Linked DNA regions of Elephas maximus indicus. The protein of the gene in region 1 interacts with the protein of each later gene in a pairwise test. Links are inferred from orthologs where the notes say so. Each region holds a gene or a part of one and is shown in the gene's direction. Other genes may lie near its edges.

Evidence for each region. The genes of interacting proteins can lie anywhere in the genome.
Region 2: the proteins of CREB3 (region 1) and CGRRF1 interact in a two-hybrid assay, tested with the Homo sapiens proteins (2 studies listed by BioGRID and IntAct). The two-hybrid records come from large-scale screens. The link is inferred for Elephas maximus indicus from reciprocal best matches to the Homo sapiens genes CREB3 and CGRRF1.

What each region holds. Positions count from the first base shown.
Region 1 is NC_064827.1:44,514,123-44,522,147, forward strand, and holds the start of CREB3 (cyclic AMP-responsive element-binding protein 3), read left to right. Parts: upstream 1-4,945; 5' UTR 4,946-5,093; coding exon 5,094-5,222; intron 5,223-5,323; coding exon 5,324-5,471; intron 5,472-5,547; coding exon 5,548-5,612; intron 5,613-5,726; coding exon 5,727-5,816; intron 5,817-7,060; coding exon 7,061-7,167; intron 7,168-7,265; coding exon 7,266-7,334; intron 7,335-7,963; coding exon 7,964-8,025. UniProt on the Homo sapiens protein: Endoplasmic reticulum (ER)-bound sequence-specific transcription factor that directly binds DNA and activates transcription. Plays a role in the unfolded protein response (UPR), promoting cell survival versus ER stress-induced apoptotic cell death.
Region 2 is NC_064828.1:66,802,074-66,809,628, forward strand, and holds the start of CGRRF1 (cell growth regulator with RING finger domain protein 1), read left to right. Parts: upstream 1-4,533; 5' UTR 4,534-4,693; coding exon 4,694-4,797; intron 4,798-7,555. UniProt on the Homo sapiens protein: Able to inhibit growth in several cell lines.

The sequences.
Region 1 (8,025 bases):
CTGAACACGAAAGAGTGAGGGCTGGCGGGTCAGAGAAGCTGGAGGAGCCAGAGGAGCTGAGGGCAGGACTGAAAGGTTCCTTTGCCCTAAGCTGAAAGTACATGTCTCCCCCCATTTCCTCCGGACATATGGACACCCCCTTCTTCCTCAAGCATGGAAACCTCTGGTGGGACCCCGATAAGAGACTGAGTCATGCCTACCCTCACTCACAGGCCAGTCCTAAGTGGGCCTCCACATTGCTCCAAAGGGCAAGGGGAAGAGAAGGAACTGAACAGTGCACTGGGGGTGGGAGTGGCATGGAACAGGATGCCTGGAAGTGTGGGGAGAAACTAGCCTGTTCATTCTCTGGTCTGACAACTGTGCTCCCCTTTCCATCATTTTTTTATGGAACAGCAACATCAGCCCCCCCCCGCCCCCCGATCTTGTGTCCCCCTCCCAGGGAACTCCTCCTCCCTCAAGACATTCCTGAAATGCATTCCAGAGGAGTTGGGCAATGGTGGGGGTAGGGGTGGGTGGTGATGGAGTACAGGAGGTCAAATCCCAGCAAGGAATGGAATTTAAGTGTACTGGTGGGAAGGAACTTGGGGTACGTGGAAAACACAGTCAAAGCAGATGGTCACAAAGGGGGCTGCAGGAAGACAGGGAGTTACAGAGAGGGACAGAGAGAGAGAGAGAAAGCTGAAGACAAGCAGAGCGTAGGAGGGTTGGGGGAGTAACACTCAGTCTGTTACCAAATTTGGCCTCTGAGCCCGTAACCGCGGGCGGGGCGGGGGGAGTTGTGGGTGAGACTGACATATCCGGCCTCAGGCTGCTGGAGCCTCACTTAGGGCTGGACTGGGCAGCTGAAGGGCTGGACCTAACCTCCCCCGACACAGCCCCTCCCCACTTACACCCCTATCCCACACACACTCATCCTCCCCAAATGCACCCCAGCCTATGCACAGAGCTCCTTCCCAATAAGCTACCTACTTAGTATCTCCTTACAAACATGTTATCTCAATCTCACAGCTCTATACATATCCCGCTACAGCCTCTTTATCTTCCCGTGTAGGCCCATCCATACATGCAGCTGCCCACAAATACATCTTCATCTCCAGCACACAGCCCCCTACCCCAACATCTCTCCTTCCATTCAGTATACATTCTCTCTCCATTCACCCAGGAAGCATTCCTTGAGGGCTGTTATGGAGAAGGCCCTGGGTCACACTATCCAGTGGCTGGGAACTAAGCTGAGTAAGACGTAGCCTTTGCCCTCAAGGGGAGAAAAGCGGATCAGCTAAGCACAGAATTTAATAGAGAGCAGGATGAGCTAAGAGCCTGGAGGCGTGTATGCAGAGAAGATATCCCAATAGGCGAGGGAAGTGGAACCAAAAGTCTCCCTGAAAGACGTGCCATTTGAAGTTCGATTTTTAAAAACAAGGATAATAAAAAAGAAATAATGATCTATCATTTATTGACAAGGTATCAACTGCTTTGCATACATAATTTTGTTTAATCCTTACAACAACCCTGCAAGGTAGGTGCCCTTATCTCCATTTTTACAGACTAGGAACCTGAGACTCAAAGAAGTATATGTTCAAATGTACTTGTCCAAAGTCACACAGCTAACAAGTTGTAGAGCCAGGATCCGAACTCAGGTTTCTCTGACTCCAAGGCCCAAGCTCTCTCCACTACGCCAGCCGGAGATGAGTCAAGGGTAGCATTCCAGGCAGAGAATAGCATAAGCAAAGGTGGAGAAGCAGGAAATCGCAGAGGAGCATTCAGGGAAGTGAGTAGGCAGGCTGGTTGAAGCACAGGGTACCTGCAAGGGAGCAGTGGTGGGGAAGTTAGGGTTCGGATAGAAAGGCAAGGGAGGACTAGAGAGGAGTATGAGGTATTTTACCTACTAGAGGGCAGCAAGTGGCCAAGGGAGGCTTTTGAGCAGAGAAGGAACATGACCAGAACTGGATTTTAGAATATAACTCTGACAGTTATCTTGGAGATTGGTTAGAAAAATACCATATTAGCACAAGTGAGAGATATGGAAGCCAGAGTTAGAAGGTGGAGAGGAAGATGTCACTTAGAAAAAAGGTTAAGAAGTAGAACTGACAGGACTTGACAAGTCTGTCCTGTCAACCCTCAGAGACCAGGGCCTAAAGTCAGGTGGGGGTCCCATAGCTTCCTGTCATCAGTAGCCACTTAGTTTCTGGGACAGCTTGAGTTTAGGTAAAGGGGAGAGGAATCAGGTTGAGCTGGGAATGTGAGGATGAGGCTGCCAGGAAAAGGGGACAGGTATGTGGTTAGTAGCCAGGTAGGAGCAGGTGGGGCGTGGTCAGTGACTACATCAGGCTAGAGATGGTGGAATGATGGTGGCAGGAAAGATGAATATATGATAAGTCACTGGATCAGCACAGGGGAAGTAGAGGAATGAATATATGGGCAGTGGCTAAGTCAGACTCAGGGAAAAGATGGAGTGAGGTCAGAGGCCAGGTCAGGCTACAGGGGATTGAAAAGAGATGGGGCTGTCGTCAGTGGCTAAATTAGGTGGGGTGTGGGTACGGTGAGAGGACATTGGCAATGGCTAAGTAAAGCTGGAGCTGGGGGCGGGATGGGATGCAGCCAATGGCTGGGTCAGGCTGGGTAGGGGCTAGGGCTGTGGTCAGTGGCTGGGTCAGGCTGGGAGCGAAATGGGGGTGTGGTCAGTGGCCTGGCTGGGCGTGGGATCAGCAAGACCCAGTTTCCTCTTTGGGTCTCGTTTCCTCTTTTCTGTTTGGGGAGTGGGGGAAGGGGATCTTCAATTGGACCAAGAAATTAAAGGAGGCTTAGAATTGGAAGATGGCACAGGGACTGGGGGTATGTGGCAGTTGTGTTGGGTTGGGGAGGCTGCTCAGATGAGCAGATGGTATGCAGATGGATGAGTGGGTGAAAAAGGTAGAAGGGTGTTTTAACATGATGGGAAAGCTCAGGTTTGGATAAGGGTAAATTAAGGTAGGATGTGTGAATCAAGTAGGGAAGGCCTGGCAGAACTGAGGTTGGGAATAGGTGGTAAGCAGATGAAGAATATGGAGAGTTAAAGGCAAGGGAAGTACTTTGTAAGGGGGTATGCAGGAAGGGTGTGGAATGCAGCGCCAGGGATGAGAGCTGGAGAGGAGGGCTTAATATCTAGGGAATGAGGGAGCAGTAGGAGTTAACTTTCGGTAGATTCGGCCACCCTCTTCTCCCATGACAAGAGCATTTCCTTGGTCTGCTTCCCCCTTAGTCATCAGTCTCTTCTCCCCTCGGTAGTTCTCCACTTATGACTAGACATTGTGCATCTCCTGGGCCCCTGTCCCTTTCTTATCTCTCACCTTGTAAACAACACAGTCCAGGAAACCCCAATCCTCCATTTGTGCTGGCCACAGAAAGAAACTTGGATTTAGAGAGTAGAATAGAGAAGCTGGATTCCTAGTTGCCTGCACTTCCAGCCCAGATTGTCATCATTCTGGGTTAAAGAAGTCCCCGTGACTACCTAGGAATAAGACTTTCCCCCAAAGCAAGAGCATCTACCTAGTGACAGCTTCTTAAATTTCATCTACCTGAGATCAACTACCCTGACCTCAATCATAACCCCTAAAGCTGCCCCCTAATTCCTAACATTAACTCTGACCCTAACCAGTTTCCTGATTGCCAATACTGGCTTTGACAGTCGTCTCTTTCCTAGCAGAGAACCATATTCAATGCCTGATCCTAAATGCTGACCTGACTTTACCGTTAACATCAAACTCCCTGACCTTAACTCTAAATGCTGAGTCTTAAAACTAATATTCACTTGTATTTTTATTCCTAACCCACCCCATCATTATGTATCCCTAATATTGACCTTGCCAACTTCTGTAATCCCTAAAATGGGCGTCTAACCTAATTCCTGTTGTTGACCTTTAACCCGACCCTGAACTCTAACTTTGATTTAGGCTGTCCATCCCAGAAAACAAAATAATGGCCTCAATCTAAACTTTACATATAAAATAGGCTGAATTTACACTAATAACTCGAAGTTTCGACCCTGGCTTTATAACTCTTAAAGCTAACGTTAAATCCACCACCCAATCTCATCTAATCCCAAACTTAGCAAAGCGTTCCTACTCACATATCCACTATCAGCTAACCTCAAAACCTATTACCGCCCTGCGCCTCACTGTGGTCACTCCTCACCTTCCCTAAAGCCCACCGCAGGCAAAGGACTGCGCCTAGGAAAAGCCTGGCTCCCGCAAAACGGCCTACTGAGCTCCGAGACCAAGCCGAGATATATTGGACCCTGACCTCTCCAAAAGGACCCGAAACAGACGCAGGACTGCCAGCGGCCCCGCCCGCCCGCCTCCCGGGCCGGGCCTTGCGGCCCCACCCCGGGGCTCTAGCTCGGCCCGGTCCGGCCTACCTGAGCTGCCCGGCTCTGTGCCCCGCCCGCCGGCCCGCTAGCCCGGTCGTTCTCCCGGTCGCTCTGGGGCTCTGGCCTCGCCCTCCCGCCGACAGGCTCTCTCTCGGCCACTTCCGTCCCCGGAACGTCCCCCACCCGCGGGCGGCGCCCTGGGCCCGCGCTCTATGGTTGCCGGGACTGCAGGAAGCTGCTCTGGCCCCAGCTCTCGATGCTCGACAGCCGGCCGAAGACTGGCAGCCCCTCCCCGGCAGGAAGCAAGGGCGCGCACAATCCAGAGGAAACGCCCGAACTGTGCTCGAGTTCCCTTTTAGTCTGGAATCCTTCCTTTTTTCGCTCGAGGCGAAGGCGGAGCCGGATCACCCGAATTCCCGCCCTCAGGGTGTGCGGAGGCTGACGGGACGTCCCCACTATTTGCATAGCTCCTGGGACGTGGCGCAGCACCCAGGCCACTTCCGAGTTGGAGGGAACTCCATGTCCCAGAGTGCCATGGTGGCGAGATGTATTACTTCCGTTGTGTTGGAAGCGGCAGAGACTGGATCTGGGAGGCGGGTCCGCGTGAGAGTGACAGCTAAAGGCAAAGTGCGGCGAAGAGGGACCCGAGACCAACAAACAACTGGGCTGTGGTTCGTGCCTGAAATTCGGGGGTTGGAGCTGGGTGGCGGGGTGAATCCCCGGGTTTCTGTCCATTCTTGTCTGTAGTATGGAGCTGGCACTGGGTCCCAACGACCAAGACCTGCTGGGTTTTCTGCTAGAGGAAAGCGGAGATTTGGGGGTGGCGCCGGAGGAGGCCCTGGAGGCTCCGCTGGACTGGGAGCTGCCGCTCTCCGAGGTGAGTGGAAGTTCTGAGTAGGTGAGGCACGGGGCTGGGGGCGTCCATGAGGCATGGGATGGTGGTGATAGGTCAAAGCCTGTTTATTGAACCATGTGCAGGTACTGAGTGATTGGGATGTGGAGGATTTCCTGAGTTCCCTGCTAAGTCCCCCAGCATCGTTGAAGGCTCTCAGCTCCTTCAATCCCTGTCCTGTCAGTCATGATCACAACTACTCTCTCCCACAGGAACATGTCTCCGTAGATACAGGTGAGTCTGAAATATTTGAGGTTTATGGGGAGGAAAGTGCTCATGGGTCTGGCTATTCATACTTTTTCTTTTGCAGACAGTGGGAGCTGTGGGAAGGTGGCCCAGATGACTCCCCTGCAGGTGAAGGAGCCTGCAGAGCAGGTACTTGACTAACAGGAGGATTATTCCTACATTGCGCAAATGGGGGCAGGATTCCCCATTCCTCTGACAACCCCTTGCAACTCTGCTTCTCCCTCCCACCCTCAATAACCCCAGGAGATTGAGGAACTGATACTGACAGAGGAGGAGAAGAGGCTATTGGAGAAGGAGGGGCTTTCGCTGCCTGGGACACTTCCTCTTACTAAGGTAAGTCTCCCATTGGCAGAGCAAAAGCTGGAGGGAGGTTTTATGAGTCTCGAGTAAGCTAATCTTGTTAATTTTCTATCAGTAACTTGAAAAAGGACCAACCAAGAAAGCAAACCCACTGTTGTCGAGTCAATCTGACTCATAGCTATCCTATAAGACAGAGTAGAACTACCCCATAGAATTTCCAAGGAGTGCCTGGTGGATTCGAACCGCTGACCTTTTGGTTAGCAGCCATAGCACTTAATCACTACACCACCAGAGTTTCCCAAAAAAGGACAGAGGTGGGAAATTTAGCAAATTTGTTGGTAATGGGAAGCTGGGGCATATAGGTAATATGATGGATGCAAAATGCTGGTTTTGTGGGGTCTGAAACATACAATTTCAGTATTCTCATTAAGAAAAAAAAATCATAATTATCAGCACAATATTACTATAGAGCCTTGTGCAAGTGAGGGTCTCTGACACTTAGATTTCATTGACTTCGTAGTAATCCACTTCTGGCTGAATTATAGAATTAAGCTTTAGATCATTCAGTAAGGTTGGAGTAACAGTATAACAAAAATAAATATAAATTCCTGCGTTTATATTTATTGAGTGACTTCATAGGCCCGGTATTGTGCAACTGTGATGAAATCAATGTTCACTGACAGAATGGTTAAGGGAATTTAAATATAAATTTCTTGCAAGTGCAGTGAGTCAGCAGGTCAGCAGGAAGATACGGCTACTGAGTGAATGGGACTTGGAGGCTGCATCAGTAGAGGTGTTGCCTTCAGAAGTGGAGTGACTATCCTGTTCTCTTTTGTATTTGCCAGGGCACATCTTAGTATTGAGTTTTGAACCCAGATATTTAACAGATATTAACAGGATGGAATCCATCCTGAGGAGAGTAGATAAAATGAGATAAAATTTTTGTCCAGGTTTTTTTTTTTTTAAACTCTGAAGAAATGTCAAATGTCTTAAAATAACTAAGGAAGGTTTGTTCAACACGGCTTCAAAGATTAGATACTAGGTCAGTCCAATGGATAGAAATTATAAGGAGGCAGATGTGGGCTTGGGAGATTTAAAAAAAATATAAAATTGTTAAAAGTGGTCCGGGCTTATTAACAGAGATGTTAACACCTGGCTCCCAGCGGCGTTCTGCACAGAAGCCGAGTGCATACTGGTCAGGTGATTGAACTCATTTGCCTTCCAACTCTTCGGTCCAGTGTTCCTCTGATGATGCCCCTTCCCCCATCTTCTTCCAGAAGGAGGAACAAGCCCTCAAACGAGTACGGAGGAAGATTCGAAACAAAAAGTCTGCTCAAGAGAGTCGTAGGAAGAAGAAGGTGTATGTGGGAGGTTTAGAGAGCAGGTATGAAAGGAAGAAGGGCTCAAGGGTGGGGGGAACAGAGGTAGTTGGAAATGATTTTAAAGGGAAGACAGAGGTCATATCCCTGTTATTCCCCCCAGGATCTTGAAATACACAGCCCAGAATCTGGAGTTACAGAACAAGGTGCAGCTCTTGGAGGAAGAGAATCTGTAAGCAACCCTCCAACATTAGTCCTTTCCCATCACCCCCATTTAATGCTGCCCCACTCTTTCCCCTGTTCCACACTTGACTTCTAACTGGGCAGCTCCTATATGCAATCTGGTACTTAGCCTTCAATGTGGGTCCAGGAAGCTCAAAGTACTGGCAGAATTCACAAATAACTATAACCAAGAAAGAGAAAGGAAGGAGGAAGAAACACTTCAGTGGGTAGATGGCATTTGATAGTAGATAGGATTCTAGGGGTGAAGTAAACATTTCAAGCAGAGTGAACACACCACCATCTGGTTTGGCTGGAACTCTGACACAGGTGAGTTGGGACCAGAAGGTAGAGGTTATGGAATGCCTGGTGAGGACTATGGGCATCATTGATCAGGCAGAACTACTGAAGGTATTTGCCAAAGGAATTTGTCAGGGTGGAGAGATTATTTTTTTTGTTGTTTGTTTTTAATGGGGAGCTTTAAGCATTTTATCTGCAGAAAAGTGGTCACTGGCAAAAACAAAGTAAGAGATGATCCAGGGCACAGATGGAGGGGGTGGCCTTAACAGGAGAGTTTCATTGTATCTCAGTTACCAGGCCAGGGTGTGCTCACTCTCTCTTCTCTCCCTTCTCTCCCTCTAGGTCCCTTCTGGATCAGTTGAGGAAACTCCAAGCCATGGTGATTCAGATATCAAACAAAACCA
Region 2 (7,555 bases), on another chromosome or scaffold:
AAGAACTTCTTTCATTCATTTATCCATTCGATAAGCTCATCTTGAGCAACTACCAGACATAGGCTAGGCACTTGTGACGTAAACGTCAATCAGATGGAATTTCTGTGCTCAGGGAGCTGGGTATCCAGTGGAGTAGACAAACTAGCAAGTGGATGCTTACAACAGGGTCAGGAGGCTCCCACATAGATACACACTGGGTGCTGTGCTAAAGGCATCTCCCCAAGGGTTGGGGAGAGTCCAGAAAGGAGTTTCAGAACTGAGTCCTTAAAGACAACTAGAAGTTAGGCAGGAGAAGTAGGGTAAGGAAAGAAGAAAGAAGAGGGAAGAGCGAAGGCACTTGACCAATTCTGGGATGTGCAAACAGCTTATTTCATTGATGTTAAGAGTTATCAACCCCCCCCCCCATTTTAATTCTCTAAAATTGGGATGTACTTAACAATCCACAGCGTCTTACAATTTTAATTTTGGTGACAGATAAAGTAAAAGTGCAGCTTAAAGCACCCTAAAGCAAGTGAAGCTTAAGTTTTGGAGCCGTTCATTTGCATGGGCCCCTTTCAAGGCCTTATACTTAATTTTATATTTGTAATTTTTAGTTCACTTTCTTAAAGTGGGCATCCCAAACAGTATATGCTTCATGCCTCACAAATCTACATCTCTCGTGTGTTTCAGGCGATTGGTAATTCAGTAAGGCTAGAGACTGGTATTTATAGAGGATGGTGCATTAACAAATTACCACAAATATGGCTTAACAACAGAAATTGATCCTCTCATAGTTCTGGAGCCAGAAGTCCAAAATCAGTATTACTGAACTGAAATCCAGCTCTGCATCTCCATCTTATACCAGGGCCACACTTCCTCCAGGAGAGAATCCTTTATTTGCCTCTTACAGCTTCTGGTGGCTGCTGGTATTCCTTGGTTGGTGACCGTATCACTCCAGCCTCTGCCTCTGTCTTCACATAGCCTTCTCCTCTGTGTGCGTGTGAAATCTTGCTCTCCCTCTCTCTTTTAGGGATACTTTGTGATGGTATTTTGGGCCCACCCAGATAATCCAGGATAATCTCCCCATCACAAAATTTTTAATTTAATCACATCTACAAAGACCCTCTTGCCAAATAAAGTAACGCTTACAGTTTCCAGCCATTGGAACCTCATATCTTTGGAGGACCATTTTTCAACCTACCATAGATGATAGCGGGAGGGCCGGAGAGAGGATGAGTGGCGAGAGGTTGGAGATTTATGATCTAATTTCAGTTTATGACAGCCACATTCATTCATCTGTTGGCAGGTTCTGTACATTTTTCCTGTGACAGGGACTCCTAGTTCTCCCCCAAACTGATTCTTCCTTCTTCTATAAGTAATATAACTTTCTAACTTTAGCCAGGCACATGGCCACCCTGAACAAAGACTATTTCCAGCCTCTCTTGCAGTGAAATGTGGACACTAGACTGAGTTCTGGCCAATGGATGTAAACAGAAAGTGTGTCCTTAAAGTCTCCTTAAATGGCAGTGGTGTCTGATTTTCCCTCCCTTCTCTTTTGCTAGCATGACTGTGGACATGATGGCTGGAGCTGGAGCAACCATCTTGGACAATGAGGTTACTTTAGGAATGGGGGCCACACATGGTGGAACAAGATAGGAAAAGCCTGAGTCTCTTACACTGTGGAGCATTACATTGACCTTGCCTGAATTGCCCACTTCTGGATTTACCTAAAAGAGAAATAAACTTCTATCTTGATTCTGACTCCCTGAGTTGATTCCAACTCATAGCGACCCCAGAGGGTTTCTAAGGCTGTAAATTTCTATGGAAGCGGACTGCCACATCTTTCTCCCGTGGAGTCACTGGTGGTTTCAAACCATCAACCTTTTGATTAGCAGTCCATCATAGCCAGTGAACCACCAGGGCTCCTTTCTATCTTGATTAAGACACTGTTATTTACTTATTGTTATCTTACAGATAAACCCATTTCTAACTAACGATCCATTGTACTGTATGTAAGTCCTCACCATCCTCCTAGTCAGAGTTACCAATATTTCTTTCCTGGACTTTTGAACGAACCCTGGTGGAACAGTGGCTGAGAGCTATGGCTGCTAATCAAAAAGTTTGGCAGTTCAAATCCACCACATCTCAGTTTAACAATCTGTTCTTTAGGGAAGCTTTCCATGGTCTACTTTACCAAATCAATTGCCCCATTATATGCTTTCGTAGCTCCATATATCTCTTCTTAATAGCACTTACTGTAATTTAGCCTTTGCATTTTGCTCAAGATTATGTTTGGTTAATGTTTTTCTTTTCCATTAGATGATAATCTCCATGAGAATTGAGATACATTATTTTTTCCTTATTATTGTATCCCAGGAGTCGAAATCGACTTGATGGCAACTAACAATAACACCTACTATAGTGTCTGGCTCATATCTGACACTCAATAATATTTTCTGAATGAGTAAAGGAGTGGAAAATGAGTAAACAAGTAGGAGTCAGGTCGTGTGGAGGCGGGTGTGCCAAACAAGGAACTTAGACTCAATACTCAAGGAAATATAGCACAACAGTAAAGATTTTTAGCAGTGGAATGGAGTAAGATACAAATTATGGAAAAGTCATCTTAGACAGCAGTGTGCAGACTGCGCTGGAAGGAATCTATTTTGGAAGTAAAGTGACAAGTTTCAATGGTTGTAACAGATATCCAAGTGGGAAATGATAAGGGCTTGAGTTGAGGTTCTGTCAGTTCCTGCTTTTTTGAGAACTCTTCAGAGTAAACCAGGCTGTGTCTCAGTTTTCCCCACTCCTAGTTTGGGATCTGGCTTTCATGACTAGTTAGTGGATTATCCTTGTTCATCTGTTTTTCATCTTCCACTATGTTACTGCTGGTATTTTATTTCATGTTCTTCCTGTTTTTTAAAATCACTTTACTGTAATTTTAGTGGAGTTTTGGGGGGGAGAAAAATTAGATGCATGTAATATACCACTTTAACTTGGAACTCCCTATATTTTTGTTTTAACTCTGATAATTCTTTATTATTTTATTTGAATAAAGTTGTCTTTCAAATTGGCCAAGATTTTTAAATGACAATATCAAATGATGACGAAGCTGTGGATGAAAGAGGAGTATAAATTGCTACAAAACTTCTGGAGAGCAGTATTTCTCCAAAGTCTGAAAAATGTACATACTTTTTGAATCACAAGTTCTACCTCTAGGAATTTATCATAAGGAAATGATCTAGCTTTCAGGGTGTTCATTGCTGGATTGTTTATAATATTGAAAAATTACCCAACAATTGAGAGTTGACTAAATAAATCAAGTATATAGTCTTTAAATATTATGTTGCAGAACCAAACTTCTCAAACATGGTAATTTGCCAAGGAGTTATGTAAAGCCATAGAACAAGCTTAGCTCATCTTTCTCCAGCATCAGTTTTATCAGTTTTTTGGGAGTATGCTGCCATGGAGTCCACCCTCACTCACTGCAGCCCCGTGTGTTACAGAATAGAAATGAGCTCCACAGGGTTTTCTTGGCTATAGTATTTATGGAAACAGGCAATGCTGGTGGGTTCGATCACCAACCTTTCGGTTGGTAGCCAAGTGCAAACCACTTGCACCACCCAGGTACCTGTGGCAGAGGCTACTAGTTACCTGTGCCAGTGTCCATTCTCCCTTTCTTCCTCGGTAACAAAACTCTGATTTGTAGCAGAGGATGTTACTGTTCAGAATAAAAGACTGTTGTACATTTCCCGGTCTCTGCTGTGGGTAGGTGTGGCCTTAGGACTAAATTGCAGACCAATGAGAAGTCAGTGCAAGTGTGAGAGTCTTCCAGGAAGGCTACCTCGAAGGAGCTGACTCAGCGAGAAATGAGAGGGGACGGGATTTAGGCCTTTTCCTGTACTCGAAAACTTCTGCTCGGCAAATAATAATACGGTGAAAAGAAATACAAAAACGTTTAAATATCTAATTTGAGGGGTGTAGGAGGAGGAGAAAAAGGGGGGATGTGAGAGTGAGAGGACGGTTGATTAATTTCTGTGAGGATCCGGGGTGCTGATTTTCTTTTATCATTAAGTCCAATCAGAAAAGGCTGACAACGCTTATACAAAGTGCTTGCGGTAGAGACTCTTTTTCGTGTTTTGTACAGTGCCAATATCTAAATCTTCCAGATAAAACAAGTACAGCTGTGGCATTATTTCACTCCTCCTCCAAATGTGCCTTGGATCTAATTTGCAGGGATTCAGGATTTACAACCGGTGCATGTGGATTTCGAACTGTGCTTCTCTTCGGTATCAGAGAGCCTGAATTTTGCCTAAGTCTTCGACGGAGTGGGCCCCCGTGTAGAAAAAGAGACGACCGCTAAGACGATGCGCTGTGAAGAAGACGCTCGCTGGGTGCCAAACCCTCGGAGTGCGGGGCGGTGCGAGCTGCGGCCCCGCCCCTCTGCGAAGCCAATAGCTCGGGACGGGAGTGGGAGGGGCGTGGCGAGCCTGCAGGCGACGTAGTGATTGGCACGCCGGCTCCTGCTGCCGGCGAGGCTGCCCCGAGGTCTAGCCTACGAGAATCCCAGGCGAGTGCGCACCCACAAAGCTTGTCCTCTCTGGGGCACCGTAGTGCTTTTACCCAGGCAAAGGGGGCTGGGCTGGGCTGGGCTAGGCTAGGCAGGGATCGGCTGGGCGGGCCGTCGAATTTCGGCTCAGCCCAGAAAGGGACCCTGATGGCTGCGGTCTTTCTGGTGACGCTCTATGAGTACTCACCGCTCTTCTATATCGCGGTGGTTTTTACCTGCTTCATCGTGACCACCGGCCTGGTACTGGGATGGTAAGTGCCCTAGGGCTAGGCGGAAGGGGCGAAGGGGCGGATTTGGGAACGGGGGAAAGTCGCGGTGAGCTTCGGGGGGCATCGGAGTCTGAGCGCGGACGAAGGCTGGGGCGCCTAGGGCTTTAGGGGAGCCAGCGCTAAGGGCTCCAGCTGGCCCCGGGAGGAAAATTAGGTAAACACCTACGTCACTGCCCTGCATCTCTGTCCGGTCTCCGTTGCTGCGAGCGCCTGGGGTGATGCTGAATTGGGGTGTTCTACCAGGTTTGTTCCAAAGTGATGAGCCTGGGGTAGAGTGACCAACGGCTTTCTATCCCGGATTGGCGTCTACTGCGTGCTCAGTACACACGGTGAATCAGTCACTTGCGGCACAGTGCACAGATGTGCACCCCCGTCCTTGGGAGTGGACAGTAATGAGGTTGATTATTGTGTTTTTGTCCTGAACCGAGCATTGGCCTTAGATCTTTCAGCGTAATTTACAACTGAACTTTCTTACCGTTTGAGAACTTAAATGGTTTGTACACACATTTTGAAGTATAATTTAGTCGGTAAGAACTATGGAATCGTAATTTTAGAGCTGAAAGAGACCTTGGAGATTACTTACACCAACGGATATACCTATTTGAGTCAAGAAGAATAGACTGTTAGTCTTCGAACAATTCTTTTAGCTCAGGGATTCTAAAATTTCTCTCTTGAGGAGATGCCATTGTATCATGTTTAGACAAGCCTTATAAATACAGCTAGTTGAAACTATCTTACTAGACGACAACAGATTTTTCTAAGCTGCAGCCTCCAAAGTTCCTTTGAGAGGATGGTGATTTCAAATGGATTAAACAGTGGTTCTGAATGGATAGATAACAGCTGTGGCCTGAAGAGGTCAGGTGGCTCTGCTGAGGGGAGAGACAGGAGCTGAATTTTGAAGAATGAGTATTTTGAAAAATAAATGGAATTGAATATGTATAGTAGAAAAGAAAATGCATTTCAGAGAACACAGTGTGAACAGAGGGGCAGAAGAGAACATAGCAGTTGATAGAGTAAATTGTAAAATGAGTTTAAAACTACCCTTAGGCTGTATATATATATATATATGTATATACATATATATATATATATATATATAGTGTTAAAGGAAGGACACAGGCCTATATCACTTTCTGAAAATATAAGCCATCTTTAGGAACTAATCACTGTTTTAACATTTCAACACAGCTCCCCACCCTGCCACCAACAGAGCATAAAATTCCTGGTTTGGGGTTGAGGGGGAAGGTAAGACCAATTACACAATTTGTTAATCTTAATCCACCAGGTTTTATTTCTTAATATATATAATTTTTATTGTGCTTTAAGTGAAAGTTTATAAATCAGGTCAGTCTCTCATAGAAAAATTTATGTACACATTGCTTTGTGCTCCTAGCTGCACTCCCCCTAATGAGACAGCACACTCCTTCCCTCCACCCTATATTCCCCATGTCCATTCAGCCAGCTTCTGACCCCCTCTGCCTTCTCATCTCTCCTCCAGACAGGAGCTGCCTATTTAGTCATGTATCTACTTGAACTAAGAAACATACTCTTCACGAGTATCATTTTATGTCTTATAGTCTAGTCTAATCTTTGTCTGAAGAATTGGCTTCAGGAATGATTTTAGTTCTGGGTTAATACAGAGGCTGGGGGGCATGTCTCCCAGAGTTCCTCCAGTCTCAATCAGACCATTAAGTCTGGTCTTTTTACTAGAATTTGAGTTCTGCACTCAGCTTTTCTCCTGCTCTGTCAGGGACTGTCGGTTGTGTTCCCTTGTGAGTGCGGTCATTGGTGGTAGCCGGGCACCATCTACCTCTTCTGGTCTTAGGCTGAGGGAGTCTGTGGTTTATGTGGCCCTTTTTGTCTCTCAGGCTAACATTTTCCTTGTGTCTTTGGTGTTCTTCATTCTCCTTTGCTCCAGGTGGGTTGGGACCAATTGGTGCAGCTTAGATGGCTGCTCACTAGCTTTTTTTTTTTTTTTTTAAATTATGCTTTAAGTGAAAGTTTACAATTCAAGTCAGTTGCTCAAACAAAAACTTATGCATACATTGTTAATGTGACCCTAGTTGCTCTCCCTACAATGTGATTGCACATTCCTTCTCTCTACTGTGTATTTCCTATGTCCATTCAACCAGCTCCTGTCCCCCTCTGCCTTCTCATCTTGCCTCTAGACAGGAGCTGCCCACATAGTCTTATGTGTCACTTGAGCTAAGAAGCACATTCCTTGCTAGTATCATGTTATGTCTTATAGTCCAGTCTAATCCTGTCTGAAGTGTTGGCTTTGGGAATAGTTTTAGTTTTGGGCTAATAGAGAGTCTGGGGGCCATAACCTCTGGTGTCCCTCCAGTCTCAGTCAGACCATTAAGTCTGGTTTTTTACTAAAATTTGAGGTCTGCATCCCACTTTTGCCCTGCACCATCAGGGATTCTCTGTTGTGTTCCCTATCAGGGCAGTCATTGGTGGAAGCCTGGCACCATCTAGTTCTTCCAGTCTCAGGGTGGTAGAGTCTCTGGTTTATGTGGCCCTTTCTTTCTCTTGGGCTCATGTTTTCCTTGTGTCTTCGGTGTTCTTCATTCTACTTTGCTCCAGGTGGATTGAGACCAATTGATGCATCTTAGATGGCCACTTGATAGCGTTTAAGACCCCATATGCCACTCTCCAAAGTGGGATGCAGAACATTTTCTTAATACAGTTTGTTATGCCAGTTGACCTAGATGTCCCCTGAAACCATGGTCACCAGACC